Astyanax mexicanus: one gene and its partners. The protein of the gene in region 1 purifies or fractionates together with the protein of each later gene. This does not show direct contact. Links are inferred from orthologs where the notes say so. Each region holds a gene or a part of one and is shown in the gene's direction. Other genes may lie near its edges. The genes, in order: csnk2b, rnf111, hirip3 and ccnl1a.

Region 1 (7,997 bases):
TCGCTCGGTGAGCCTAGCCATCGGCAGCCATATACTCCCATAGGCTCTCAGTGCGACCCCCTCATCCCTTCTTAACTCTTAGCTATCTATTGATGTGGTCATATTGTATGTACCCATGTTTAATAAATAAATAAATAAATAAGCATTAAAGTGTATTCCTGGAATACTCAAAAGATTGTACTATACTTTCAACTTTACCAAGGTACCTGAAGTGGTTACAGCTGTTATAGCATTTATGGTTTATTATTGGAGCCTTGATATACACACATGTATGTATATTGGTATGTATCTAAGTTTGTCTACCCCAACTTACATTCCCACAAACAAATGTTGCCATTTTTAAGTTCAAGGGAGCAATGTACAAGCAGAGAAGTGTCTTATTATAATAAAGTATACAGAGAGAAAAGTTAAATAAAATCTTTTGTTTTAATGGACCTGTGTGAGTGGTCTCTCTTATTTTTTGAATGTATACAAAATGGGCCTCACCAGTAAACAACTGACAACATTTAAGGGAAACTACAAATCTTTCTGTAGTCATTTTTAAATTATTGGCATGTTACAGCTCTTAGCCCAAATGTTAACAAAAATGTGTATGTTTGTAAACAATTAACCAAATTACTTTTTAATATTGCTGGTCTAGATTTAAAAAAAAAATCATAAAATACCTTGAAATAGCATGCAGACATTCATTTTCCACATATACTATGTATTTCTTAGTCCATTTGATCCAAACAATTTGTCATTTTTCTGTGATGTCACAAAAACTACTTTGGCTAGTAATTTTCCTGTTTGTTTTACAGCAGTTCAGTTAGAGGAATGTGTTAGCACTGGCCACAGTAGTATGTATATAATAGATTACAACTAAAACCCAACCTTCCTCCGGGTTCTCCGGTTTCCTCCCACAGTCCAAAGACGGCACGTTCAGGCTAATTGTAACTTGATTGAAATTGCCCCTTAGGTGTGAGTGTGAGTAAATGTGTCTGTCTGTCTGTCTGTGTCTGTCTGCCCTGCGATGTATTGGCGGCCTGTCCAGGGTGTACCCTGCCTTCTGCCCGATGCCTGCTGGGATAGGCTCCAGCCCCCCCCCCCCCTGCGACCCTTCACGGATAAAGCGGTTGACAATGAGATGAGATGAGATAAAACCCAACCAAGACTCAAAAAGAGAAACTTGCGAGGAATAACAAAGACACACAAAAAAGAAACACCATAACATGAAATTCTGAGGGAAATCTAAACTGAAAGAGAAAATCTCCACAGTAGCGTGAGAAAGAACCACTGAGCATAGCTGAAAATGTCAAAGTTTACACAACCAAGACTCAAATAAAAAAAACTGCATCGCAACATGAGTAATACCTGCTTAGGAGAGTCTATTCTCCTTTGGGTTGCACCTATAACTGCAATTAGGACACAAACACATAAAAGATACTTAAGCAGAAGCCAGAAAGCAATATGTGGTCTATTAGGGGACTGTCAAAAGTCAGAGACTGTATAAGACAAATGAGATTTCAGCTATGAGTGTAAAATAACATCAAAAATGCTAACAGTTTAGACAGTGGCTAAGTCCAATACAAATCATATTAGCACTTTAAAAGTAGTGTAATGAAAAGGCACCAAAGCAAAGGTCTTTATCATACAGGCTTAAAGAGGCTTCCAAGTAATCAATAAGCTTCCCATACTCTGCTACTGTCAACTATGTTAAAGATACTGTAAAAAAAACCTCCAACAAACAGCTGAGAGTCCCCATCTCCCTTTGGCCTTTTTACAGGGCTTCTTGACCCAGATTTCTTAATGCTGAAGTTTAAGACATGATCATGAAAAATGTTTTCTGGAAGACAGGATGTGTCTGTATAGTACATTTATACTATATAAATGTTAAACAATCTTTATTACAAAAAAAAAACTTAATTATGATAAAGCAGAACCCAAGGTGACGTCAGTCAAATACCCTTTAAAATCTGTGTAAATTGCCTAACGCCACTCTGTTCTTCACTTTGAGTTCCTAACTGACATCTACTGAACATCCTGAATGCATCACAGGACAGTGTGTAAATGTGTGTTTGTTCATCTGTTCTTATTTACAATATGTAGGTCTAGGTTTGTGCTGGAGATAAGCTAGCTCTATTAAAAAGTGTATTTTAGCTTTATAGCTCTGTTCCTATGATTTAACCGTTTAAAGGCTTGAATTTTTTATGTTCCATGTAACTAGTTCAGATTTTTAGAACAAAATGTTAATAAAATGTGTGAGTTAGCTGTTGTCTCATTTATATTACATCATGATTTTTACTTGAAAACAGTGATTCTCAAACTTCATAAAGTTATCCAAAAGCAGTGTTTAAGACTGGTGGAGGAGAACATGTCAAGATGCATGAAACTGCGATTAAAAACAAGGGCTATTACACCAAATAATGATTTCTGAATCATTCTACCACCTAGAAGCCATTCCACAGAAAAACATGTACCACACACACAGTAAGCTACACATGTAATCCAAACATATATATATATATATATATATATATATATATATATATATATACAGTTGTGGTCAAAAGTTTACATACACTTGTAAAAAAACATAATGTTATGGCTGTCTTGAGTTTTCAATAAGTTCTACAACTCTTATTTTTCTGTGATAGAGTGATCGGAACACATACATGTTTGTCACAAAAAACAGTCATAAAATTTGGTTCTTTCATAAATTTATTATGGGTCTGCTGAAAATGTCACCAAATCTGCTGGGTCAAAAATATACATACAGCAACAAAATTTGTCAATTTTGGTGATGTAGCGAGTTGTGTCAATCAAATTAGCTTCATGTCATGGCCTCTTCACTTCTTGTAAGTGATTCTGATTGACTACAGCTGTTGACTTCTCATGAGCCCATTTAAATAGGGCTCATTTGACCCAGTGATTAGACTCAGCTACAAAAGCTACAATGGGAAAGTCAAAGGAACTCAGTGTGGATCTGAAAAAGCGAATTATTGACTTGAACAAGTCAGGGAAGTCACTTGGAGCCATTTCAAAGCAGCTACAGGTCCCAAGAGCAACTGTGCAGACAATTATACGCAAGTATAAAGTGCATGGAACAGTTGTGTCACTGCCACGATCAGGAAGAAAACGCAAGCTATCACATGCTGCCGAGAGGAGATTGGTCAGGATGGTCAAGAGTCAACCAAGAATCACCAAGAAGCAGGTCTGCAAGGATTTGGAAGCTGATGGAACACAGGTGTCAGTCTCCACAGTCAAGCGTGTTTTACATCGCCATGGACTGAGAGGCTGCCGTGCAAGAAAGAAGCCCTTGCTCCAGAAAAGGCACCTTAAGACTCGGCTGAAGTTTGCTGCTGATCACATGGACAAAGATAAAACCTTCTGGAGGAAAGTTCTCTGGTCAGACGAAACAAAAATTGAGCTGTTTGGCCACAACACCCAGCAATATGTTTGGAGGAGAAAAGGTGAGGCCTTTAATCCCAGGAACACCATGCCTACTGTCAAGCATGGTGGTGGTAGTATTATGCTCTGGGGATGTTTTGCTGCCAGTGGAACTGGTTCTTTGCAGAAAGTAAATGGGATAATGAAGAAGGAGGATTACCTCCAAATTCTGCAGAAAAACTTAAAACCATCAGCCCGAAGGTTGGGTCTTGGGCGCAGTTGGGTGTTCCAACAAGACAATGACCCAAAACACACATCAAAAGTGGTAAAGGAATGGCTAAACCAGGCTAGAATTAAGGTTTTAGAATGGCCTTCCCAAAGTCCTGACTTAAACCCCATTGAGAACATGTGGACAGTGCTAAAGAAACGGGTTCATGCAAGAAAACCATCACATTTAGCTGAACTGCACCAATTCTGTCAAGAAGAGTGGTCAAACATTCGACCTGAAGCTTGCCAGGAGCTTGTGGATGGCTACCAAAAGCGCCTAGTTGCCGTGAAAATGGCCAAGGGACATGTAACCAAATACTAATGTTGCTGTATGTATATTTTTGACCCAGCAGATTTGGTGACATTTTCAGCAGACCCATAATAAATTTATGAAAGAACCAAATTTTATGACTGTTTTTTGTGACAAACATGTATGTGTTCCGATCACTCTATCACAGAAAAATAAGAGTTGTAGAACTTATTGAAAACTCAAGACAGCCATAACATTATGTTTTTTTACAAGTGTATGTAAACTTTTGACCACAACTGTATATATATATATATATATGCAAATATCTTTGCCAATTGTTCTTTACCTGTTGTGTGGTGCTTGCCCATGTTTGCAATCAGTAAGTTAGTAAGGTAAGTTATTTGGTTATTGTTGTTGTTGTTTTTGGCAAGGCAAGCAAAGAATGAAATCTAAAGGCTTATTTTAGTTTATTGCGTCTTATTTAGAACACTTTATCAAATTCATTTTATGGTTTTATCATTGTGTTGTGAAGTAAAAAGGTCAATATCAATAATGAAAGTAACACTGTTAAAAGGCTTCAAAATTTAATGGACATTATAAATTTAAATATTATATTATATAAAATTATATAATGTATTAAATATGATAACATTTAGAATTGTACTGAATTAGATTTTATATTCGAATACTGGTTCTTGTTTTGTGTGGATTAAAAAACAACATTCTTATAATTACTTGGAAATAATGCAAGGGTTAATGCACGTAGATTTTTTTTTTCATCTAATGTCATCTAATTAGTGTACCACCTTGTGATGTTTCGAGTACCATCAGTAGTACCTGTACCACAGTTTGAGAACCACTGCCTAAAATATTTAGTCATGTTCCCACAATAAAAGACAAACCTGAATAAGCTGCTCGCTGAATTTATCTGATTACATTATGAAATTGATATCAATATTTAGAAATGAGTCTGGGTTAATATTGTTAATAAATGTAATGTAAAATAAAAACTATTAAAATAGCATTTAATGCGTTTTTAAATGAAAGTCTTCATATGGAGGTGAATTTATTGGGGAAAAAACTACACTTCCCATAAGCACAAGCGCCTGGTTCGTCATGACGTTGCTAAAGACGAAACACGCCAATCAGCGCTCCGCTTCTGCAGCAGCTTTTAGCCTGAATCCGGGAGGTAATACACAAATACGAGTTTTATATTCGGTAATTTTGGCAGATATACTGTTTTTAATGTGTTACTGAGCGGGTTGGGCGCGGGCTGTTTGTGTTCGCTAGCTGTGGGTGTAAATGTTAAGGTGTTTGTCGGTACAGCGAGGAATCCGCGGCTCCGGGTTTATGCGGCCTGGCTGATTTGAGCTGCGCCATGTTGGAGTCCTTTAGCTGAGGGGCTAAAACGGGTTTTTAGGATTCTTGTAGAAAGACTTTATTTCTCCGTGTTTTAACGGGTCAGTATGTGTCGGTACTCGGCACTCGGTCAGTGTATTTGACGCCGCGGTGGCCAGAGGCTCGTCTGGTAGATTTAAACCCACAGTAAATACGGGAGGCTAGCGGCCTAGCAGCCTCGGGCTGGATTTGGGCTTTTTAGCTCGGCTAGCTTAGTTTAGCTCATGTTAGCCTATGTTGGATTAGCTAGCTGTTTTAAATATCTATATATTTAATTAGCTAAGCTGGGGTCAATAACCCGAGAGCTAAATTGTTTGTGTACTTAGCTAGTTAGTTAATCCTATTCTAGCATTAAAATCAGTATCTTGTAAATTGTGAGGGTATCTTGTGTATGCTATCCTATCCTGTCCTAGCCTAGGTTATACCTCAGTGTTCTCCTCTCAGAGCCAAGCTAACACTAGTCTACCGGTGTTCTGTCGATTTTAGCAAGCTTGTCACACTATGCTACCCTAGTGTATATTTAAAGGTAAAATACAAAACATTAGAACGTGCTCGCAGTGGAGGTCTCGGTATGATATTTGAATCAGTATAAAGTTAAGGCAATATAGGTGATTTTTTTTATTATTATTATATATTTTATCATTATTTTTACACTGTTGTAACACTCAAGCAAACGATGGCAGTAAGTCCATATTGTACAGTGCAATCGAAAAATTAATTACGAAAAACACATGATAACAGTAAAAATGAGAGTTAAGCGCATGCGCAGAACTGCTAAGAAGCACAAATCGACGGGTAACACAACTCGACAAAACACCGGCTCTGAGCTCTTCTTACCTTCTGTTTTGTTTTACCTTCTTTTGTCTAGTTTCCCCAAAATGAGCAGTTCGGAGGAAGTTTCGTGGATTTCTTGGTTTTGTGGTCTACGAGGAAACGAGTTCTTCTGTGAGGTTCGTGCTTTTCATGTGAAACCTTTACACATCAATAGTGGTAAAATATGGCAAACCCTTTCAGCCTAACCGAAAGCCCAGACCTTTTTCTGAATATTGATGCCAAGCTTCAACTTGAACTATTATTGAGGGCAAATGATTTCAAACCTTTATATTTTAACAGTTTGTTCAGGTCGAAACTAGTTATATGGTATGTAAAACATTTAATCACAACATTTGAACGGTTAAATGGCAGAAACAGATCTATATAAGCAAAAAACAGACTTTGTAAAGGATCTCCAGAGCTAGCCCAGCACTTCTACGTTTTGTAAATGAGGTAAGATGAACGAGGACAGATTTACACAAACTGTCCTGTGATGCTCTCAGGATGTTTAGTATGTGTTACTTGGTGACTTTGAGTTAGAATGACCGAAAAAGTGCTATAAGGAACTTCACACATCTTTTAAAGGGTTTGTGACTGATGTCACCAGCGGTACTTGCTTAGTTTTTACATATTAAGCTTTGTAATGCAGTTTTTACTCTTGGAATCTTTCATTGCAGTGATCAGCTTTGGAATTATTACTTCTGGCTATCTATGCTACCAGACCATTTCCATATTGTTATTTTATTTTGTGAATAAATTCTGGTTTTGATTAGTGATGGTGTATATATCTGGAGGTTTTGATACTTAGAATTGCACTTTACAAATCTAGAATTACAATCTCTACTAGTAAGTAAAACTAGATGTCGGTAACTTGTTTTACCAAGTAACAGTGTTACTATAGATAAGAAAGGAGGAGTCTTGACTAGTCAAAATTTACATTAATGATATGTGCTCCTTGTAATACATCAAAACCATGTTACATGGCTGATATCCAAAATAATTTTGCTGTTACATTACATAGATCTTGACTGAGTTAAGATCTAAATTAGGTCTTATTTCATTGGTGTGATGTTAGGCTAAAATGGCTTGCTATATTAATGTGTTCACCAATTGTACTTAATAATAAATGTTTATCTTGTAAATGTTCTTAACATGTTCAAACTCATGCTTACTGTGTTACCCAGGTGGATGAGGACTATATCCAGGATAAGTTTAACCTCACTGGACTCAATGAGCAGGTTCCACATTACAGACAAGCTCTGGACATGATTTTGGATCTGGAACCTGGTTAGTATGGCAGTTCAGCATGTTCTTAAAATGAGCTAATGTTAAATCAAACTACTATGTTCAACAGGTACCCATCATTATCAATGCAGGAGAGCCAATGTAATAGCATGGATTGTTACATTGTTTTGCCCAGAGCAAAGATACTCCACGTCCAAAATAAGGATGTGCAATATGACCAAAAATTCATATCCCCACAAAGGCCTTTTCAAATTCCAAAAACAGTATAGTATATCACAGTGTGACATTTTTCTTTCTTTGTTTTCCATAAAATAACCACAGCCTGCTGCCTTGCACAGAAAACTTCTCTACTTTATAACACCCTGCTGCTGCGAAAGGTCTTTTTAGTTGAGTAGTTGATCAGTAGCTGGGGGAACTGGATAATCAAGATTGAGAAACAGTGTTATATGAAGCGGAAGGTAATGCAGGGAATCTAAATTGATCTTAATACTGTTACTCTACTCACTGAAAAAGGTGTTTGTTAATTAGGTTGGCCACAATAAACCCAGTGTTTGCCGGTTACAAATTGTTATCCGGGTCTCCTGTTTAAAGAATAAATTTCTGCAGTTTGATCACTTCTGTCATATTAAGTCACCCAAGCAACAAAAAGGCTGCT
Region 2 (7,603 bases), on another chromosome or scaffold:
AAAACTGTGTCTCAGGCGTCAGGCAGTGTATTTATAATCGTTTAGTGTAATAATTAAAATCAATAGTACCTCACAAAAGTGAGTATCCGCCCCCACATTTTTGTAAATACCTTTTCATAGGACAACAGTGAACATATGAGACTTTGATACAGTGTAAAGTAGTCAGTGTACAGCTTACTAATTCAATACAGAACCATTAATGTGTGAACCACTGGCAACTGAAATGTCAACATTTTGTGTGACCACCATTATTTCTGAGCACTAATTTAATTCTCTTGGTTCTGAAATTTACTAGAGCTTCACAGGTTGCCACTGGAATGCTCCTTCACTCTTCTATGAGGACATCACAGAGCTGGTGGATGTTACAGTCATATGAAAAAGTTTGGGCACCCCTATTTATCCAAATCATTTTTAGTTGTAAATATTTGGGTGTTTCAGCCATTTCAGTTTGATATATCTAATAACTGATGGGCACAGTAATATTTCAGGATTGAAATGAGGTTTATTGTACTAACAGAAAATGTGCAATATGCACAAAATTGGTTTGGTAACCTCATTGAGCTTTGAACTTCATAGCCAGGTGTATCCAATCATGAGAAAAGGTATTTAAGGTGGCCAATTGCAAGTTGTTCTCCTATTTGAATCTTCTCTGAAGAGTGGCATCATGGGCTCATCAAAACAACTCTCAAACGATCTAAAAACAAAGATTGTTCAACATAGTTGTTCAGGGGAAGGATACAAAAAGGATGCTGCAGATGGTGTCACTGTGCATCGCTCAACAATACAGCGCACTTTGCACAAGGAGAAGCTGTATGGGAGAGTGATGCAAAAGAACCTGAGGTGTGCTTTTGCATAATGAGAAATGGCTTCTTTTGCATCACTCTCCCATACATCCCATCCCTGGCTATGAAGTTCAAAGCTCAATGAGGTTACCAAACCAATTTTGTGCTTCAGTAAGTCAGTAAAAAGTAGTTAGGAGTATTCAAATCAATAAAATTATAAGGGTGCCCATACTTTTGCACCGGTCAAATTTTGGTTTAATGCATATTGCACATTTTCTGTTAGTACAATAAACCTCATTTCAATCCTGAAATATTACTGTGTCCATCAGTTATTAGATATATCAAACTGAAATGGCTGTTGCAAACACCCAAATATTTACAACTGAAAATGGTTAAGATTAATAGGGGTGCCCAAACATTTTCATATGACCGCAAGTTTATGTTGTTCTGATCAGACCACAGGACATGGATTCAGTATTCCAATGCCCTTAGTCTGCTGTCCTCAGCCAACTGTTTGCTGTGTGTGGCGTATGGTCTGACACCTGAGACCTTTTAACATTAACATTAAGTCATAGGACACCAGGGAGGGAAATGGCTAACTGAGCACAATTTGGCTTGTGCCCAAGTTTTGTTGCCAGTGGTTTAGACATTAAGAGCTGTGTGTTCATTTGTTTTGAGGGCTGAGCAAATTTACACTGTTACCAATTTTGCAAACATTTTGGAAATTTTGGTTAGTTGAACGCATTCTGAATGCTACAGTTAACGTTCTTAAAATGTTCAATCTCTCAAAGTTTCTCGATGTTCTAACATCGCTGCAGTGTCACTTGTCAATTTTTTTGTTTTGTTTTGGAATTGTTACTTTTAACATTTCGATAAAGTAAAGTAGTATTCAGCTAGCTGGGACGGTTATGTGAGAAACATTCTAATAATGTTGTGATGCAAACCATTATTTTGTCACATGTTTTCAGAATATTTCTGGAGATTAGCACTTGGCTCTATGACCAAAAATGTATATCACGGTTTTATCATGGTTTTACAGCATATCACACAATTTTCATTATCACTATTTATTTATATTTTTTGCATGACTGAGCTTTATTTAAACAGTAAAACACTTGAGGTGCATGCTATAACGGGTGATATTTGCACTGCTGTTCTGAGGTAATAAGTCGCAATCTTAGGCAGAGTGTCATGGAGCAGCACAGCACTGCTAACATTACACATTATAGCATTAACCTCAAGCGTATTCTTGCAATTATACCACAGTTCCATTATCACAATCTTGTCTTACTTCACATCACAGGGTCGAAACGAACTGTGGTATAATATAGGTTTTGCGACTTACTCTACTGTTATGAATAAATATAATATAAAACATTAAGGCTTTGATTACTTTGTCCCAAACAATTACACAATATGAAGAATAATAAAGAAATCAGACCTTACTAGCAGAAAAACAGCTAAAGAATGTAAACAATAGACCTTGAAAAAAGGTAAACCAACAACTTTTACACAGCTTTCATTACAAAATTAAATATTTTAAATGGTCCCTAAACCCTATAATGGACCTAAAATACTCAAAATGTATTATATTTTCAAAAAGCACAAGTTAGACAAAAGTTAAATATCAAATTAAAATATGTTGTTATTAAAGCCATTAGAGGCATTTAAGTATATAAATGGATGTTTATTAGTCACAATTGCCTTTTTTCTCCAGTCAACAAATACATTCAGTTCAGTGTGCATTAAAAGTATCCTTTTATCTACTGTATAAATATACTGTATTTAAACAGGGCTATGGTTACTGCTTTTGTAGTATTTTTCCATCTCGTATCCGAACATCACTTGTACTCAATAAATGATTCTGTACCCAGGATCAATTCTGGGCTTGTCTGGGGGGTGAGAGGAACTTTTTCCAAGCTAAAGATCATAATTTCAGCATAATTCCAGTCCTCTTTTTTCTCTGAGTGAATAATTGCAAAAGCTTTAGTCGTTTGCTGTGGTTCTTCTGTTTTACTTGAATAAAATCACTCATACAGTGAAGATCAACGGCAGGAGATCCTCAGATAAAGTACTGTTCTCATATCACATAATGTTTCTCCAGGTAGAACACAGCAAGATGAGAGAGATTGACAGAGCTTCACAGACTGAGTGAAGTTGAGAGAGTGATGTAGAGAGAGGTAGTGAGAGAGAGTGACAGAGAGAGTGAGGTAGTGAGAGAGAAAGTGAGATAGAGGGATTAAGTGACTGAAAGAGGGGTAGAGAGAGAGAGAGGTTAAGAGTGAAGTAGTAAGAGAGAAAGAGTGAGGTACTGAGAGAGAGTGACAGAAAGAGTGAGGTAGTGACAGAGAGTGAGGTAGTGACAGGCAGAGTGAGGTGAGAGTGAGGTAGTGACAGATAGAGTGAGGTAGAGAGCGAGTGAGGTTGTGAGAGAGAGTGAGGTAGCAAATGAGAGCGAGGTAGAGAGTGATGTAGTGTAAGAAGGGTGAGAATGAGGTAGGGAGTCAAGAGAGAGTGAGGTAGTGTGAGAAGAGGGAGAATGAGGTAGAGACAGAGAGAGTGAAATCAGCACATCACGGAAATCAGCTTAATCAACAGTCTAATCTAATTTATTTATATGATTTACTTTTATATGTAAGATGTGTTAATGTGTATGTGTATGTGTATGTGTGTATATATATATATATATATATATATATATATATATATATATATATATATGTGTGTGTGTGTGTGTGTGTGTGTGTGTGTGTGTGTGTGTGTGTGTGTGTGTGTGTATTAGGGGTGTGATGAGATTAAAACGTGACGATATTTCTAGTCAAGCTTAAACCTGTCTCACAGTTACAGTACAGTTAAAATGGTCCGTGGTACAGGTAAAAAGCTCCGCAGTACAGTTTAAAAACTCAGCGTGACAGTGCTCTTACAGTCCCAAAGATTCACAGCCCTAGTAAATACTGTACAAGTGACTGTTTCCCTTAGCTCTGTACTGTATGTTCTGTCTCTGTTTGCACTTCAAGCATAGTCTTAATATGACTGTTTATGGGTATGCATAGTTAAATAACGAGAAATTTAGGAGAAAAAAAACACAAACATTAGGCTTAATATGACTGGTTATGGTTATGAATAGTTAAATAACAAGAAATTTAGAAGAAAAAAACACAAACCTTAGGCTTAATATGACTGGTTGTGGTTTTGCACTTATTGTTTGCACTGTATAAGACCTAGAAAAGTTTTATTTTTATATATCTTATTCTTATTTCTATTTCTTATAGAATCAATGTGTAAGAGCAACCAGTCTGTTAAGTTTGAGCTATATGATTTTGTCAAATAAAACTCTAGTTTTCAAGGCATTTTTCATTTCTGATGTTTTCTTTAGAATTTTATTTTAAAATCTCGTCTCGTCTCGTTCTCGTGAACCCAGTATCGTGTATTGTCTCGTGATATTAGTGTCTCTCGTCACACCCCTAGTATTTATGTGTATATGTATATATATGTTTGTATATGTATTGTTATATATATATATATATATATATATATATATATATATATATATATATATATATATATATATATATATATTACCTTTTGTATATTAACTTCTTGTTTCATTGCTGTTAATTTTGTTTTGCAAAAGTTGTTAATTGCAATTCATGCCAATAAAGTTATTTTAAATTGAAAAAAAAAAAAGAAGCCAACTTAATTACATTGAAATTGAGTGAGGTAGTGAGTTAGAGAGACAGAGTAAGGTAGTGAAAAAGAGAGGTAGTGAGAGAGACAGAGAGTGAGGTAGTGAGAGAGAGAGAGTGTGACAGAGTGAGGTAGTGAGAGAGAGTGAGGTAGAGAATGTGGGCGAGATAGAGAGTGACAGAGAGACTGAGGTAGTAAGAGAAGGGGGAGAATGAGGTAGTGTGAGAGAGAGAGAGGTAGAGATACAGAGAGAGTGAGGTAGGGAGATAGAGAGACAGAGGTAGTGTGTGTGAGAGAGTGACAGAGAAAGTGAGATAGTGTGTGTGAGAGAGAGAGAGAGACAGAGAGACTGAGGTAGTGTGTGTGAGAGAGAGAGTGACAGAGAAAGTGAGGTAGTGAGAGAGAGAGAGATGGCGCCTCTCGCGGAGCTGAAGTCGGATCTTGCCAGCGGGGAGGAATTAGCGCCGCATTTCTCTCACAGATAAAACTGCGCTCTCCTCTCCGTCTAATCTCAGTTTATATCAATAGTGTTATCAGATTTTAACAGTAAAGCGCCATTATTTTCCTTATTGATGGTAAACAGCCGCCGAATCGTCGAGCTTGTCTGGTTAGCTAACGGTAGCTAAGCTAACTAGCTCGCTCGCTAGCTTTAGCTTTAGCTTCAGGCCCCGTTTGGGCTTTTCTGTGACTTGTCAGTTTCTCTGCGCCTCCGCTTAACTCGCTCTCTCCGGGTTTTACGCGTTTGTTCTTCAGATTTCAATCGTGTTGGGCTCATTTCTCGACGGATTGCCTGGCCTGTATGCCCTGGGAGGAAGTCAGCGGGTCGGCCAGCGTCGTTGAAGCCGTGAAGAGGTAACAGTGCTTCGGCCAGTCCGGCTGGAAATACGCTGCTATTGTTTAGGCTTAGGGACTGAACTTCACAGCTAGCGCTAGCTGGGTTAACACTCTCACTTTCTCCCTGGTTTTACCAATTTTTATTGATATTACGAGTTCAAGTCATATCACATATTACAATCAAATACTGCTGGATGTAATGTAGCTGTGTGTAGCTCGATATCCAGTTTAATAAAGCTAGTTTAATTAGCTATAGCTAGACTGGTTATGTTTGGGAAATTCCTTGCGAGCGAGTTAACGTTAGCCTGGATTCGCCGCCGCCACTGCTGCTCTTGTTTTTGTTGTTGTTTATGTTGTTTTTTCTAAGTAATACCCCATCATTATTACATATTACACATTTATAAACCTTTTATTATGTGTATAAGTCACGCTCGTGCTGTGTGTCTGTATGTAGGGTGGAATTATATGTCTAGAAGCCTGAACATCCTGCGTATGTTTTTCCTCCTCTGGCTCTCATAACCTAGGTTAGCTAGCTGACGACGTTTAGCGTTCAGCTCTAGATTACTATAGCTAGGTTATGTTATGTAGCGTTAGGCCTCGAAAAACTGAGCTTCTTCTTTTATCTTGCGTTATGTCTGTTTTCTCTTCCTTTCTGTCTGTCTGTCAACATCTTTTGGCCTGTCTTTCTGTCTGTCAGTACCTATTAGCGGTGTAAATAAATATCGGTATTGTATCGTATGGCGACATCTTGTTTTTGCAATACTATATCGATTTATAAAAGCATCATAACTGTTATCTATCTATCTCTATCTATCTATCTATCTATCTATTAGGGTGTAAGAAAATGTTGATGTATCGTATCGCAATATTTTGTCTTGCAATACTAAATCGGTTTAGAAAAACAGTATTATTTTAATTTAGATCACGTGTGAAGATTAAAGTCAGACCGTGCTTCATTTACTATGCTGTCTGAACGTTTTTCTTTTATACAGATTTTGTAAATATGACTATGTTTTCATATAATATGGTAGTTACCAGCGATGTGTTTAATCATAACCCATGTATTGTGATACTATCTGTCTATTGATAGAATTGTTAATGTTTTTAACACTGATGCTAAAAATCAAATATTATAAAGGTTAAATAATCTAAATTTAAACATTAGTATTGCTATTTGTGGCCTGATCGTGTTAATATATTATGGACTGGTGTGTGTGTGTGTGTGTGTGTGTGTGTGTATATAAATATAAATATAAATATGTACATATGTATGTATTTCTTGCATGGACCTTGGTGTGTGACCAGGCACACAGCGCACAGCATTGTAAATCTGTACCTACAAATTTCTGAACATAAGTCAGAGAAAGGAGCTGTAAATATTAAGCAGTTTTACAAATAACATTAGTTATTGATTTATTTGTATTGCGATATGTATTGATTTTAAATTACCTTAAAGCCCTGTGTCTGGTAAGTGCCTGCAGAATCGCTCCTTCATGTATAAGAGTTTGACAGTTTTTAACATCTGAGAAATCTTACAAATGCAGTTATTTTCCCGCTCACACTGTAATCACTGTTTTTGTTTTTATTCTCAGTACAATGCTTTGCATTTCTAAGAGAGGCTCGGAACATAGATTTTTACTGTACAGTAAAATCACAAGATTTTATATCAGGTTATCTCGCACTATTTCTATTGTTCAGTTTGTCAAAACACGCTCACACTATACAATCAGTTTTGCACATAAATGGAGGAGGTAGAATGGAGGTTGTATTAATCAGTCTGATTGGCGTGTGTCAGAATGCTTCCACGCTCATGTGTAGTGCTAATAGCAGGGTAACATAGCATCTATAGGATCTAGTCTCTGATCCTTGGGGAAGGAATTAAAACAGTCTCTCACAATCCTCTACGTTCTGAAATCTGTATCCACCTTAGTGTCAAGGGCCGTTGCTGCTGTGAGTCCCCTTGGGTGGGGGGCAATGTGCACTTTGCTCTGTGGCTCTGTGTCTCTGTGGCACATCGCAGGCTTGCAGGATGAACTCCCAGAGGAGCCTGGGATAGCACTCCACTATCTTAGTACAGGCATCTATTATTATTGTAAAGTGTTATGCTCACATGCTGCTGTGTTTGTGGATGATCCTTACTGAAATTGCTTAAACCATTAGTCTGAGATCAAAGTTATCTATTTATTTTCCAATGTATAGACATAACCTTAATCCTCTTTGCCCATTCTGTGTTTCTTAGCAAAAGCTCCAGGGTTAATGTGTTAACCAGGATAAGCTGGTATGTCAACTTTGTGTATACA
Region 3 (7,054 bases), on another chromosome or scaffold:
AGATATTTGGAGTGCATTATTATAAGTAGTATCATGACATTCTGAATCATTGACTTCTGTTACAAATATGCTAGAATTCTTGTTTTTTTTAATATCTTAGTTAGAGGTGTGCAATATCATATTGCACACCTCTAACTGTGCAATATGATATCGTATACAATAATAAAATTTAAGTTTTGTTTTGTTGCAGTAGTGTATTTTTTTATTTCTTGTCATATCACCAAGAGTATCGTTATCGCGATAATACCATGAAATATCGTGATATTATTTTAGGGCCATATCACCCACCCCTAGTTGGCATACAGATATTTTTTACTAAACATTACCCAACCTGACACACCTTTTACTCCTCTCCCAGGTTGAGTTTCCAGAAGCTCGCATCTTTGAGGAAACCCTGAACATCTTAATTTATGAGAATGGACGAGCCTCTGGTCACGGAGGAATGGCTCTGCTGGAGTCCGGCGGCGTCTCGTCTCCAGGTGTGGGCCAGTCTGAGGAGGACGGGGCTGGCGTAGGGGGTGGAGACAGAAGGGTGAGGCGGATCCATGTGCGGAGACACATTATGCACGATGAGAGGGGACACGGACAGCAGACTGTGTACAAGGACTGAGAGAGAAGATAAGTAGAATGAGGAGATGTGGAGATGTAGAATGAAGGAATAGGATACAGGTACTATAACTGGAAATTACGTCCACGGTCATTTTGAGGTTGAAACAAAAAAGATGGATGAATGGAGAGAAAAGCATGGCATGAATGGAGGAGGGAGTAAAATTTGGTACGCTAACACTGCACTGAAGGTGGGGTGGGGGTTTATATGGACTTGCTTCAAAATGATCCCAAATGAGCCACAGTGTGGTTTCGCTTTATTTGTCTTATTATTATTATTGTTATAATTATTTTTGAGGATGAAGGTACATGTCATTCAGTTTTTTTAGTTGTTTTTGTTTTTTATTTATTATTTCATTAATTTATTGTCCAGATTTTTCACATTTTTCACTTTGTAAAGGTACATGTGAAATAAGTTATTGCTTTATGTGTGTGTGGAAGGAAGAGTATGGGGTGTATTGTGCACCTAATAGTGAAATGCGTTGTTGTTGTATGCAGAAAGTGGTACTTAGAAGTGACCCATACTTGACTGATGTATGATGTGTGTTCTTACTGGACTGTGTGCCATCCTCAACCTACTCTTTTGTAAATTGTTTTGTTTTTTTTGTTTTTTTTTTTTACTAAATTTTTAAAATGTGAGAGATCATCAGATCATTGTAAGATGACAGACTGTTGACAGTCATACTTATCCGGCCATATTGCAATTAATATTGCAGTATTAAGTCTTAGGTTAGCTGTAGGTGAACATCTAACGTCTCAAAGACGTGCTGGGGCTTCACTTGTCTATGGCTATGTTCAGACTATAAGCTCAAATGTGAGAGATTGTATCTAGATGGATTTTTAATAGGTCTGGACAGCCAGAAACATTTTTCTGCTAAATATACACATTAAGAGGTGGTTTAAAATGAAATAACTATTGGATTTGTACAGATGCATTTCAGTCTGTACTCTCTGAATGCTCAAATCGGATTTCAAGATATTATTTGCATCACGCACCATATGACAAACAATGACCTCATAAAATCCAGAGGGAGAAAAGTGTGGGGGTCAAAAAAAAATCCCTAAATATTACCTATTGACGTTGACCTCAATACCACACCATCCCATGCAGATATGTTTGTGATGTCCAGACATACAAATCCATTCTGATCACCTGCAAATAACAGCGTGGACAGTGATCTCAACAGATCTGATTTGAGAAAAAATACAATTTACCTGCAGTCTGAACATAGCCATTGAGTGATATCTCTTTATGGACATGTTCTTAAAGTGGTGAATTCTACCACTGTGCTGTCTTAATAGTGGTCCAGTCAGCCAGCTTTGCAATACACACATTCTAACAGCTGGTTGATTTCACTTAGAAACGTAGAAACTTACATTGTAGATGTTTATTTCCTTTTCTTGCATGCTTTAAACCAACCAACCAAACAACTACAAAAAACAACAAGCCTATGAGCCACTCCCCAAGCTTGCCCATAATCTATGTGAATAATAAAAACACCTAATTACATATTTAGTAACATATTTAGCAACTTATTACATCAATTATTCATTTAAGTACCAAAGCTGTTGGAAGCTAACTGTGTTACACTGATGTGACTATAGCATAGGTTCTAATGTGCTGTTCAAGCAGGGACCCATTAAACCAAGAAAACACCAAGGACAAATGCACAAATGTTTCATATGTATCCAAAACAAAGGCTTACATTGTCTTCTGTCACAACAAGTGAGTGACTAAAAGCTTTGCTCTGTTGTGTATGTGATAATAATGAGGACGCGGTTTTTGTTTAAGCCAAAAGAAGCAAGAACCTGCTTTGGAGTCATTGTAGATAAACAACAGTTTATTTAAGAGTATCTCATTGACTGTCAATGATTATATAAAGGTAAAAGCCAACTGCTCACCTGCTGAACATGCCACAGTGCTGTAAAAAAGAATTGTACTAGACCCATGTCCAATTGAGCAAATGTTTTAACTGACTAAGAACATAGCCACTGCTCACACTTAAAAACACTCACTCCACTCACCTGAACCTAAAAATCAGACATAAATCTTAACAACAGTATTGTCAGAGATTTTACACCACTTTCTAAGTGTTTGGCACCTTAACATCTTTCTGGTATTATTATGCCGTCCATAAATATTAATTGTTGTTTTATCCACAGGTTCACTAATAAAAAATCTTTTTTTTTACACATCGCTGTTTTTGGACTTTATTTAAATTTGTAGTTCTACTATTGATTTGCAAATAAATCAGTGGAGATATATATAACGTACTGCAAGCAAACTAATATGTTAGGAAAGTTTACTATCCTTAGGAAATAGTAAGTAATTGTTCATTATCATATTGAATCATCTAAAGAATATTTTATTAATTAGACTATTACTATTATTTCGCTTCTTTGTGGAATCTTGTTGTGAGCTCCCCCTACAGACTGAAAGCGGGCTCAGAGGGTATAACTGCACCAATCATGAAAATGTTTGGCCATAACTGGACAATTACCAAGTGTTGTAATTTGCACCTGGGCATTTTATGGCCCAGGGGCCACATCCGGCCCTTTGCCTTTCCATACCTGGCCCTTTTGTTCACTCACTACATACAATTAGACTACAAACCAAAGCTAGCTATAGTACTTTGAATTAACTAAGCTTAATGCTGGTTACTATTGCATAGGCAGTTAAAACTTTTTTATTATCAACTGTTTATCCTAATGTTAATGAAATAATTATATAATATTGGTGTATTTTAAACTATATGTGCTTCACATTTTATTTTTCTAAAACTTATTGCCAAAAGTAATGGAATTTATGTATTTATTTATGTAGTTTATTTTTTTATTTTTTGCCAATATGTTTTAATAATTAAATAACGCTCAATTTGATTTAATTTCTGATGTTAAATCTAGAATATAAAACTAAACATGCAGAAAAAAATTCCTGTGGAAAGTTTCCTGTGGATGATGTCACACAGACTAAGTAGATGTACATAAATTCAAATTAACTTCAGCCTTTTCTTATGTAAATTATATTTTACAGTATTAATTGTAAAAAAAAATCTTCCTATTCTGTAACAAACAGTCTATGGTTCTGAGCGTTATTTTTTTAAACTTAAGTTATTTTATATTAGTATAGTATATTTTCTTATGGTAACTAAACCGTTCAGAGCGTTTTTAATTTTTTTATATTATTTATTTTTCTCTTTATATTATTATTTATATTTTTAAATTTAAATTAAATTAAAACATTATTTTTATCAGTTAAATATAACTCAGTATCTCTTTAAACACATTACAGTATATTTCTTATGTAAACGGAATGATTTATTTTGTGTAGTTATTTCTGTTATTTATTTTAGTATTTTATTATTTTTTTATATCAGTTTTATACCAAAATGTATTAATTCTCTCTCTCTGGTAACGGCTTCGTGCGTGATGACGCAACAGTGCGTGTCCGCGCGCGCCAAACCCGGCCGTGGCGCAGTGTGTGTTTGTGTATGTTGGAGGAGGAGCTGCAGAGTTTAAAACATGGTTTCTGAAGAGACAGTGATCCGCCGGTTCGTCTCCAAACAGCTGCAGCGCTGTCCGGACCTCAGGTAAGCGACACTGGGTGAGCTTTAGCGGAGTGGAGGAGGTTTAGAAGAGTTTTAAGGCGGTTTGGGTGGGTCTAGAGACGCGGGCTGACTAACACATACATGTAATAATGAGCTAAGCTAAGCTAGGCTAGCTGTGTTGCTGATGTTTAAAAATGAAAAGGCGCGAGAGTCTCACTGTGTATCTCTGTGTTTATTAACGCTGTAAACTGTCTGTGCAGCACGTTAACACTAGGAATACTACGGAAGCGCTATCTGGAGCATGTGGGCAGAGAGTGCCTGAGTGTGGAGCACAAAACCCTGCTGAAAAAAGTGGTAGAGGAGGAGCTGTTGAGGATGCAGGTCGAGGTGAGTGGTGTATTTAGTATTTTCAAAGGCTCTGTATGCTTAAAAATTGCTTAAAAAGAGAGAAAACAGGTTTTACCACAGCTGGCCATGCAGCATCATGAGGAAATAATTTAGGCAAAAACGTACATTTTGCCCAAAAATATTTAGACGACCATTAAATTATTTTAGGATGTTGACAATATATAAATAATGCCACAAGAGGGGGTGAAAGTGCTTCCATTCTGCCCTAGTTAAAGGCCTTGGAGTCTCAGGAGTCTTGAAGCTTCTTTTTTATTATTATTTATTTATTTATTTTGTTTGTGTGTGTGTTATTACGATAACTTGTAATCTGTTTATATTCTGTATGATGCACTAGTTAATGTTTAAATGTCTGTCTTTTTTTGTTTTTCTTTTTTTCAGGACAGTGACGATGAACCTTTAATAAGAAAGTCAGACCCTTCACAGAACAAACGAAAGAGAGAGGATGATGACGAGGAAGCAGAGGCAGAAGAAAACTGTGATGTCAGGGCCCAGAAAAAGAAGTCTCGTTTTGAGTCAGTACTTCCAGGTATAAGGCAGTTTGTTTGCTTTCATAAATTTAAAAATTGCAAATATAGTCTGTATGTCCAAATTCATCCAGACAACCATTCTTATTAGTTGCTGACATTTAGAGGTCAAATATATACAGTGATTTACCACCGCTTTGTGTCAATACTTGCTGCCCATATGCAAGCAAGAGCATACAGAGGAGCACTTTTGGTTTACAAGTACGCACTGTAGTTCTGTAGTTTGTCTGCATACTTTATTATTCTTTTTCGACCTTTTTCTTCAATGGTCATGACCCCAGAGGACCACACCATGGAACAGCTATTATTTGGGTGGTGGGTTATTCTCAGCACTGCAGTGACACTAACTTGGTGTTAGTGTGCGTTGTGGTAGTATGAGTGAATCGGACATAGCAGTGCTGCTGGAGCTTTTGTCACCACTCACCGTATTTTACCAACTGCTCTATCTTGTAGATGTAAAGTCTGAGACAGAGGCTCGTCTGTTGCTGTACAGTTTGTTTTGCTCATTCTCTGGTCCTTCATCAGTGCTCACAGGATGCTGTTGGCTGTGGGTATTTCAGGTTGTTGGATTATTCTCAGTTCAGCAGTGATGCTAAGATGTTTAAAAACATCAGTAGCTCTGCTGTTTTTGATCTTCTTCTACCAGCACAACACACACTATCACCATGTCAAGTACTGAGCGTCACTGCATTGCTGAGATTGACCCAGCACCCAAATAATAGCTGCTCTGTGATTGTCCTGTGGAGTCCTGACCATTTGAAGAACAGGGTGGAGGATTAAAAAAAGCATGTAGAGAAACATAGGTCTTTAATGGGATTACAAAGAGATCCTGTATGCTCAGTTGAGATGAAACAATGGGGGGCTTTATTGAAAAGGCATGGAACCTGTTTACTGCAGCACACAACAGCAGAAATAAAATAAAATAAAAAAATGTTGTTTAATTTTCTTATCCAGTTTAGACTAAGAGCTTCTAATATAGGTTTAATACAGACCACAGAATGGCATAGAAGAATGACTGTAGAAGTAAATAGCGTGGGATTTAATTTTTCAGAAGATTAGAGCCTGCTATTGCAGTAAAAAAATGCACCACCATTTATTCACTTAATTTGAAACAATGTATTGAATGCAGGTGTCTATAAACTTTTGGACATGTAGCATGCTATACTTGTTTTCATTAGTCAAAGTGTCATAACAAATGTTTTATATATGCAAAACATACATTACTGCTTGTCTGTTGTCTATCAGAATCCCCGGATTCTGGAATAGAGAAGGCTGCTAATGAGGACCAGTTAAAAGAAGATGAAGATGATGACGAAGAGGAAGAACAAAAACAAGAAGAAGAAAAAGATGATGAAAGTGACGAGGACATGAATGTAGAGAGTGGGGAAGAAGAGCAAAAGGAAAATGTGAAGAGTAAGAAGAAAATAGAGAAAAAACAGCCAGAAGTGAAGGTAAAGAAGAAGGGAAAAGCAAGTCCAAGAAAACAAAAGAAGGATAAGGGAACTAAAGCAAGAAAGAAAAAGAAGGTACCAGAGAGTGAGGAAGACGAGCAAGACCCATCCTCATCTTCTGAGTTATCAGAGGAAGAAAAACCACAGCAAGCAAAGTCTAAAGGTCAAAGAGAAAAGAAGACGGTGAGCTCAGACAGCGAGGAAACAAAGATGAAACGGATAAAAAAGAAAGGACAGAAAAAGGATGAGACAGAGCAAGATAAAAGCAAAGTAACCCCTCCAAAAAGTGAAAGAAAAGAGCCGAATAATGAAGAGCTCAAGTCACCGGAGAGTGAGGCTGTGAGAAGAGTGCAGAAGGAAGTGTTTGGAAGTAGCTCTGAGAGTGAGGAAGATGATGATGAGGAGGAGAAGAACACGAAGAAGAAACAGCCTGAAAAGAATGAAAATGGTGACAGTGAGATTAAAAGTGATGATGAGAGTGATGAAGAAATGGACAAAAAGAAAATCACTGCTAATC
Region 4 (7,395 bases), on another chromosome or scaffold:
TAGGGTGTACTGGTTTTTGCTTAAGGACTAAGAGCCAAGAGTTTCATTAAAGATTAATATATTTATGTATATTTAATATATATTTAAATGTGTTGGATGGTCAAATGAGATTCAGATGTGTATTGATGTAGTGAAAAACTGGACAAAACCACATATTTAGATATTTTGGTAAATATTTTTAAATGTTTATTTTTATTTTTGTCAACAAAATGGGAGAGAAAATATCATAATTTAACTATATATTTCACTATGATTGTGTTGAATTTGTGCACAATATTATGAACTGATTATATGATGTGGTATTGGCTTCTGTCATTGCTTTCTTTATAAGGGTTTATTTGTAATGTTAGCTGTGTCTGAAACTGTGCCCTATTCACTATATAGTAAGTGCAGTTCTTCAGAGTTAACCAATTTTGCTGTGGTGTCTGATATGGGGGCCATACATTCACCTGGCTAGCTGCCGCGATGAGTTGGTTACATATGGAGGATCATACCTGCCAAATCAAAAAAATATTTAGAAATTGAATTATTACAAGTGGAAGCAAACAAAGAAGAAAAGAGGAGTATAAAAAAAGACAAGTAAATAAATTAATAAGGGCCATAAAATCATAAACAAATTAATAAATTGAACAGAAATAAATAATTAAAATAATTACAGCACTTGTATATTTGTACAGTTTATTCCTTACATTCCTGCATTTATATACTCTTCAATGTATTTGTTTATGTATTAGTTACAATTTTCTTATGCCTATATTAAAGTATTTGTATTTTACTGTACGTATATTTGTAACTTTTCTTCAGTTTATTCTTTCATTCTTTGTTTCATTTATTTATTCCTGAACTTTTATTACAAATATTACATAATACAAACATATATACATTGAATAATACATAAATGCAGAAATGGAAGGAATTATATTGTAATTGTACAAATACATACTGTAATTGGTTTATTTATTTATTAATTTCTAGGCTGAATTTATTAACTTTTTATAGCTTTTTTGTTTGTTTGTTTCCAACTGTATTGATTTTGTTGTAACTCTTCCAAATTAAACTTAATTTTTTATCTTTTTTAACACAGAATCTAAGAAAACATATATTTAACTATATATTTAGATACTGATCAATCTCAGGCAGCTTTGCGTGATTTTTTACAAAGTTTCTAAGCCGAAGATGGTTAACTTTTTTCTGTTACCAAAACTCATGTAACAATTAAAAAGCATGTTTAAAAGTTAGTCAACTAATTTCTTTGATTTTCTCTCAAGAACTTTTTATTTTAAAGAAATGGCTAACTGCATGTTCAAATAATGGATATTTATGACAAGAAATCCCTATACATGCAGGCACATTGTATTTTTCTGGAATATGCAAAGCCATTTTTATCTTTTAAAGAAGACCCAAACCTGAAATTGATAAAATGTATTATCATGTGATTTATTAAACAAATAGGTAAAAGTGGAAAAAAGTTATTTATTTTTTTCTAGAAAAAAAATTATTATTATTATTATTACTATTAGGAGCACAAATAAAATGTGTATTTGAACTTAAATATTATGAATTTATTATGCAAAAAGCATATATGGGATTTGGAGTCGCACAACAACGCAAAAAAAATACATTTCTGAAGGATTTTAATACTTATATTTCCTGGTAAAGTTTATAGTTAAAGAGTGGGGACAGGTAGCAAATGTTCTAAGTATGTTTCAGTGTTCCAAGTGTTCTTTATTTAGTGTATAAGACGCTATGCCTAATAATAAAATGTATTTTAAAAGTTATTTTGTGTGCACATGTATTTTCCTAGGGACAGAAATACTCTATAATAGTAGAGTACATGTCCTCTCAATAGAGTTAAATCACTGTTCTGTGTTTCAGTGTTTTAGCTCTGGGGGGAGAGACCTCTGTACTGTTAAATATCTCACTCACACTGTCTGAAGAAGCACAACCGCACCTCGGTTTAAGGCTCACACAGACGGAAATACACCGGTTTCTACGAATTAAGCTGCGCGTCGCCCTTTAAACCGTATTAAACTCAGTGTCTTGTTGTCGTCAGGTCCATATATAACCCGGGGCCTGTTCTTCTCCTCTGTTCCCGGAAACCGTCGCCCTCCGCGGACTGACGTCACGGTCACGTTTCGAAAGCAGAGCCGCGGAGGGATACACTCTGCCTTCCGCACCCGCTTCCCGCCTTCGACGTCACGGGAACTAGTTTCGTGACTCAGGCTAATTCAAAATCGCGAAATATCAGAAACGGGTCCAATAATACAAATAAACACAATAAAAACACAGAGTTTATCCCTTTCACTCGTTTATATCTTAATACACATGATTTAATTAGAAAAGCCTGTTTTTCATGTTTCATGTATGATATTTTGGCTTCATCAAAAATTAAGAAATGATTAAACAACTGTAACAATGTTCTTGGCAATAAATCCAAAGCCTGTTAATTTCTCTTTTAAATTTGTAAGGAACATGCATTTGTAGGATAAGAAGCAGAGCTGAGTATGTGGGCTGCACCCATGAAAAATTAGCGAAATCGTCTATGCCATTTTCAAACAGTTTATTCTGTCATTGACTCGTTCGCTGTTGGATGATCTGTTGGGTGTCATTTTGTTGGGACGCCCACTTCACGGCCTGTCTCTGATATCCCCAATTATATGGAACTTGGCCATCAGTTTGGAGATACTGCTATTATTATTCTCACTCCAAATAATGATACAACTTGGTTTTGGGGAACACCAGGTTGAAGTTGCCCAATCATACAGGCCCTATCCATATTAGCCAAACATGGCATTATGCTGATGAATGGAGCAGACACCTACTTACCACTGTAAACAGGCACCTGATCGGTGATGCCCTGGTGGTACCAGAAGCTCAAGACAAGAGTCAATAGCAACTGCAGAATAAGCTGTTTGGCAAATTTTTAGGGGTGCAGTCCACATACTCAGCTCTGCTGCTCATCTTACAAATGCATGTCCTTACAAATATACTGTTGTTAGAAAATGTATATTGTAAACAAAATATATATTGTTTTAAAAAGATAGACTTTTTTTGATTGACAAGCAATGGAAATAAACTGAGCTTTAAACAAATTGTGTTACTGCACTCTCTACTGTAGCATTTATACACTTACACACAGCACATTCACACTTTCATCATAATAACTAAAAACGATACAGAAACACAGAGACCTCTGTAACTATTAAAGGTCTTTTCTTTAGAGAAGTTACAGATAAATCCAAAGAGCGGTGAGTACTGGAGTACAGGAAGAGGTCTGGCTGACCCACATGGCAACATCGCTCAGCTTAACATTTTTTTAGGGATAGAATTTCTATAAAACTAATTAATTTAAAGCTATGTAGTCTTTGCCTTGGTGTTTTATGGTAAATTGTTGTGCCTGTTGTGAATTTATATTAAAAAAATCACATTTTTTATATTATGAACCAAACCATTCCTCTGATTGTGGAAACTTGTGTCTCTCCACTCTTCCTCCAGATTCTGCTCCCTTTATTTCCAAATGAAATGCAAAATTTACTGATGGTCAATGATGGTTTGGAGAGACATGTTATTTGCGGGTGTTGGTCTGCTGTGTCCAAAGTCAGTGTAGTGTTTTTTCAGCATTTTCTTTTCTCTGCTTAGAACTTTTATGAAGATGCAGATTTAATTTTCCAGCAGGACTTGATACACTGGCCACACTGCCTCTTATATACAGGCCCCACTCTTATATACGGGGTTCCTACGGTAATTAAAAACCTGGAAAAGTCATGAAATTTGAAAATAGCAATTTACAGGCCTGGATAAGTTTTGGAAAAATAACAATAACCAGAAAATTTTGGAAAAGTCATGGAAGTTGTGTCTACAAATCTTTTGTTTCATTTTATCGATAAAGAAAATCTCTTTTGAGCGAACAAATACATTAGATCAGAGTTGGTTCAGTAATTTAGCCCTACACATTGGAGCTTTCAGGATCTGACACACATTTTATTATTAAATATTGGGTTTCAACATATTATCTGACTCATATATACTACTATACCTACTATAATCAATTTTTACTATAGTTTTAATTGATTTTTGTTTTTATCGTTCATTTCTGCACTGATGTTTTTAAAAATCCCATGGTCATGAACAGTTGCCTTAAAGGCATGGAAAAGTCATGAAAAAGTAATGGGAAATTATGGGTTAAAAGCTGTATGAACCCTGTATATAATATGGAAATTTTCTGAGATTCTGACTTCTGGGTTTTCCTAAATCGCGTATATAACATATGAGTTTCACATTTTGACCTGATTACTGAAATAAAGCAAATTTTAAGTGAGGGACTAGTGTGTAAATATGAGCCGGCCCTATATCGCGCGGATGTGTACACTCTCCCCTCCTCCTTCTCGTGCTGCTGCGCTGCGCGGCTGCTGATCTGATCTACGTCAGTGCCGGTCGGTGGGTCCGCTCGGTCTGTTCTTCTGTCTCTGGATCTGCTGAACTCGCGCTGATGGAGGCCACGATGGCTGCGACTCCGGCGACCACCGCCACCCCTAACCCGCTGCCCGGCGGCGACGCGGGGATCCTGATCGGGGACCGGGTTTACTCGGAGGTGTTTCTGACCATCGATAATTCCCTGATCCCGGAGGAGAAGCTCACCCCGACCCCCTCCATGCTGGACGGCCTGGACCTCCACACCGAGACCGACCTCCGCATTCTGGGCTGCGAGCTCATCCAGGCCGCGGGGATCCTGCTGCGACTGCCGCAGGTAAATAACGGGGGGAATAAACCCGCCGAGCGAGGGCTGAACCGGGAGTAACCGGCTAGACCCGCCGCCGCCGCTAGCTTTAGCATTAGCGCGCCTCTCCTTTAGACAAAAACAAAATGGCGGTCTCTCCGGGTTCGGTCTTAATGTGCGGATTAAAGCTTGAATTTCTGTCTAAATGTGGTTTATTCATTTTACAGGTTGCCATGGCGACGGGGCAAGTCCTATTCCACCGGTTTTTCTACTCCAAGTCGTTTGTGAAGCACAGTTTCGAGGTAAGGAGCTCAGCCGGCCGGCTGTGGGGCTGAGGGTTTAGATAGTTATTCAGGCCCGGCTGCGTAAAACCAACGCAACACCACCGGCAGCCATATTAGACAGCGCGGGGAAAGCCAGCGCGCATGCGCACACACTTATTCACACTTACTAATACTCACTCGTATGTGGCATAACGTTCTAAAGTCTAGACAAATGACACACAAGTTAAATTATCATAAGGTTATAAACCTTATTTTCCTCTTATTATATTAATAAGCATTGTGTCACTGTTGGATTACTTAGCTTTTTTTTAGCAATGATTATCTCGATCAGCCTTAACATTTAAATTTTTTTAAGTAATTGAACTTGATAATAAGCACAAAAAGTCACCTGAACCTGAGTTTTTCTTAAATTAACTTATACTTCACTCATTCTGAGACGTAGAAATTGCTTAGTTTAAAAAAGCATACCAAAGAATAGCTTAGTCCATTAGACATCTTATTGGTTATCACTAGTAGGATGTTCCATTTAGTGATGTGCACTAACTAGTAATGACAGATCTATTAACCTATAAAGGCATTCTGACTAGACATATTTTAAAAAGTATATTTTTGATTATTCATGTGCTGCGCTCTCATTTGCAATGACTTTTTTATTTGAATAAAAAAACGACCCTATTATTCAGCTATAGTTATTTATAGAAATGTTATAGTAACGATTCTATATATCTTTACTAAGTTATGAACGGACGATATGGCCAAAATTTTATCATGATGACAGGTCTTAAATTCGGTCAGAGGGATATTCTGCTGTAAGTAATCACACACTGTTAGAGCTGGTTGATATGGCAAATATTACGTCACATATGTTGATACGATAATATTATTTTTATTATCTGATAAACTATAGATAAAATGAACAGCGTTTCAATCTCACGTAATTGGGGCACTAACAGAAACTTAAAACACAATTTATGCAGATTTGTACAGTTCAGAGTTTGTTCTTCTGCCCACTCTCATTTTGTGGCCTCACTGCCTCTCTTGGTTTTAGCTACATCCTATATTACCTCACTGTTTCTGTTCCCTCCTCAGATTGTTGCCATGGCCTGTATTAATCTGGCCTCAAAGATTGAAGAAGCCCCACGTCGAATAAGAGATGTCATCAACGTTTTTCATCACTTGAGACAGATCAGAGGCAAAAGGTGAGCAGTCTAGTGCTTTTGTTTTGTCACATTCTCGACTGTTTCTTCTGTTTGTTACCTGTACCAACAACCTCCCACCTTGACAGATATGTTTCATTGTGTAACATTTAACGTCATCACTTAACATAAGTGAATCAGGTATATTTTAAACATGTTTACTGTGACTAGTCTCTGTGCCTTTGTTTTTTTTTTATAGAATGTCTTGATTTCAGTGCCTTTTTGTTTGATTTATGTACTCTAAACCATTTTAAGACTTTTCAGTTTCATCATCAGTCATAAGTTGATAGTAACAGCAAGGTAGTAATCTGCTTACCTGAGCAAGATAAATGCATCCTGAACACTCAGTACATTAATCAAGCAGTATTGAAAACTATTTTTATATATCGTAGTAATGTTTAAAAAAAAAAGGGATAAATTTAAATTATAAGTGGGTAGGGTTGGGTGATAGGTTTGTTCAACTGAGTAAGAACTGAGGTATTAACTTGAATTCTTTTTTCCCTTGCAACCAACTAACAGCGACCAGCTACATTTACCAAAGCCTGGGTGATGTGGAATGGTACGTAGAGATGAAGCAGTCGACATGGCAACAGTGAGCGAGGTGTCGCTTCCCCCCGCTCCCCTGGGAGACGCCAGTGGTCTGAAAGCGGTCACTGGGAAATCGGGGACGACAGGTTGGCCGCTGGTCCCGAAGCGCCTGGGTGACTCCTGTGTCTCAGTTTAAGTTTTTTTCTGTCTTTGCTAACACGGGTGATGAGTGATTTATATAAAATCATTTTACAAGCCAAAAAATAGACAAACCCACCTCATATCACAGCTTTCACAAAAACCACACACCTCAGATTAGCCAGTTTTAGTTGTACGATTTAAGACAGGGAAGTTAGCAGGGCTGTTTATACCAAACACTTCATCCTGCATCCTCGCTTGTGATCATTTGTGTTCCCACACTCTTTGGACTCACATTAGTTGTATAGTTAGTTGTCCACACAGTGTAATGCTCAAATATCTTTGGCACAATGAGTATGTTGTCTACTTGTATGTTGTTGTGAGTTCATGAAGTTAGTCATGTTAACAGTGAATTTTGAAAGCTCTCAAATAGATATCAAGCTTTGTGCAGATATGTGTATATATATTTTTTAGTTTTTGTTTGGTCTTACTATAGTGCATTGTATTTAAATTTTTATAGAGCCAAGAGAAG

The links.
Region 2: the proteins of csnk2b (region 1) and rnf111 purify together in Homo sapiens (co-immunoprecipitation; 3 studies listed by BioGRID and IntAct, with this or other methods). This does not show direct contact. The link is inferred for Astyanax mexicanus from reciprocal best matches to the Homo sapiens genes CSNK2B and RNF111.
Region 3: the proteins of csnk2b (region 1) and hirip3 purify together in Homo sapiens (affinity purification with mass spectrometry; 4 studies listed by BioGRID and IntAct, with this or other methods). This does not show direct contact. The link is inferred for Astyanax mexicanus from reciprocal best matches to the Homo sapiens genes CSNK2B and HIRIP3.
Region 4: the proteins of csnk2b (region 1) and ccnl1a purify together in Homo sapiens (co-immunoprecipitation; 3 studies listed by BioGRID and IntAct, with this or other methods). This does not show direct contact. The link is inferred for Astyanax mexicanus from reciprocal best matches to the Homo sapiens genes CSNK2B and CCNL1.

The regions. Positions count from the first base shown.
Region 1 is NC_064410.1:37,124,622-37,132,618, forward strand, and holds the start of csnk2b (casein kinase II subunit beta), read left to right. Parts: upstream 1-4,990; 5' UTR 4,991-5,075; exon of another isoform or gene 5,076-5,104; intron 5,105-6,152; 5' UTR 6,153-6,162; coding exon 6,163-6,234; intron 6,235-7,281; coding exon 7,282-7,384; intron 7,385-7,997. UniProt on the Homo sapiens protein: Regulatory subunit of casein kinase II/CK2.
Region 2 is NC_064430.1:30,984,427-30,992,029, forward strand, and holds the start of rnf111 (E3 ubiquitin-protein ligase Arkadia), read left to right. Parts: upstream 1-4,584; 5' UTR 4,585-5,321; intron 5,322-7,603. UniProt on the Homo sapiens protein: E3 ubiquitin-protein ligase. Required for mesoderm patterning during embryonic development. Acts as an enhancer of the transcriptional responses of the SMAD2/SMAD3 effectors, which are activated downstream of BMP.
Region 3 is NC_064426.1:34,701,147-34,708,200, forward strand, and holds the start of hirip3 (HIRA-interacting protein 3), read left to right. Parts: upstream 1-4,044; 5' UTR 4,045-4,128; coding exon 4,129-4,196; intron 4,197-4,414; coding exon 4,415-4,541; intron 4,542-4,940; coding exon 4,941-5,088; intron 5,089-6,331; coding exon 6,332-7,054. Other genes in the region: kctd13 (BTB/POZ domain-containing adapter for CUL3-mediated RhoA degradation protein 1), read left to right, coding at 359-610. UniProt on the Homo sapiens protein: Histone chaperone that carries a H2A-H2B histone complex and facilitates its deposition onto chromatin.
Region 4 is NC_064416.1:35,501,248-35,508,642, forward strand, and holds the start of ccnl1a (cyclin-L1a), read left to right. Parts: upstream 1-4,387; 5' UTR 4,388-4,489; coding exon 4,490-4,747; intron 4,748-4,944; coding exon 4,945-5,019; intron 5,020-6,090; coding exon 6,091-6,200; intron 6,201-7,395. UniProt on the Homo sapiens protein: Involved in pre-mRNA splicing. Functions in association with cyclin-dependent kinases (CDKs). Inhibited by the CDK-specific inhibitor CDKN1A/p21. May play a role in the regulation of RNA polymerase II (pol II).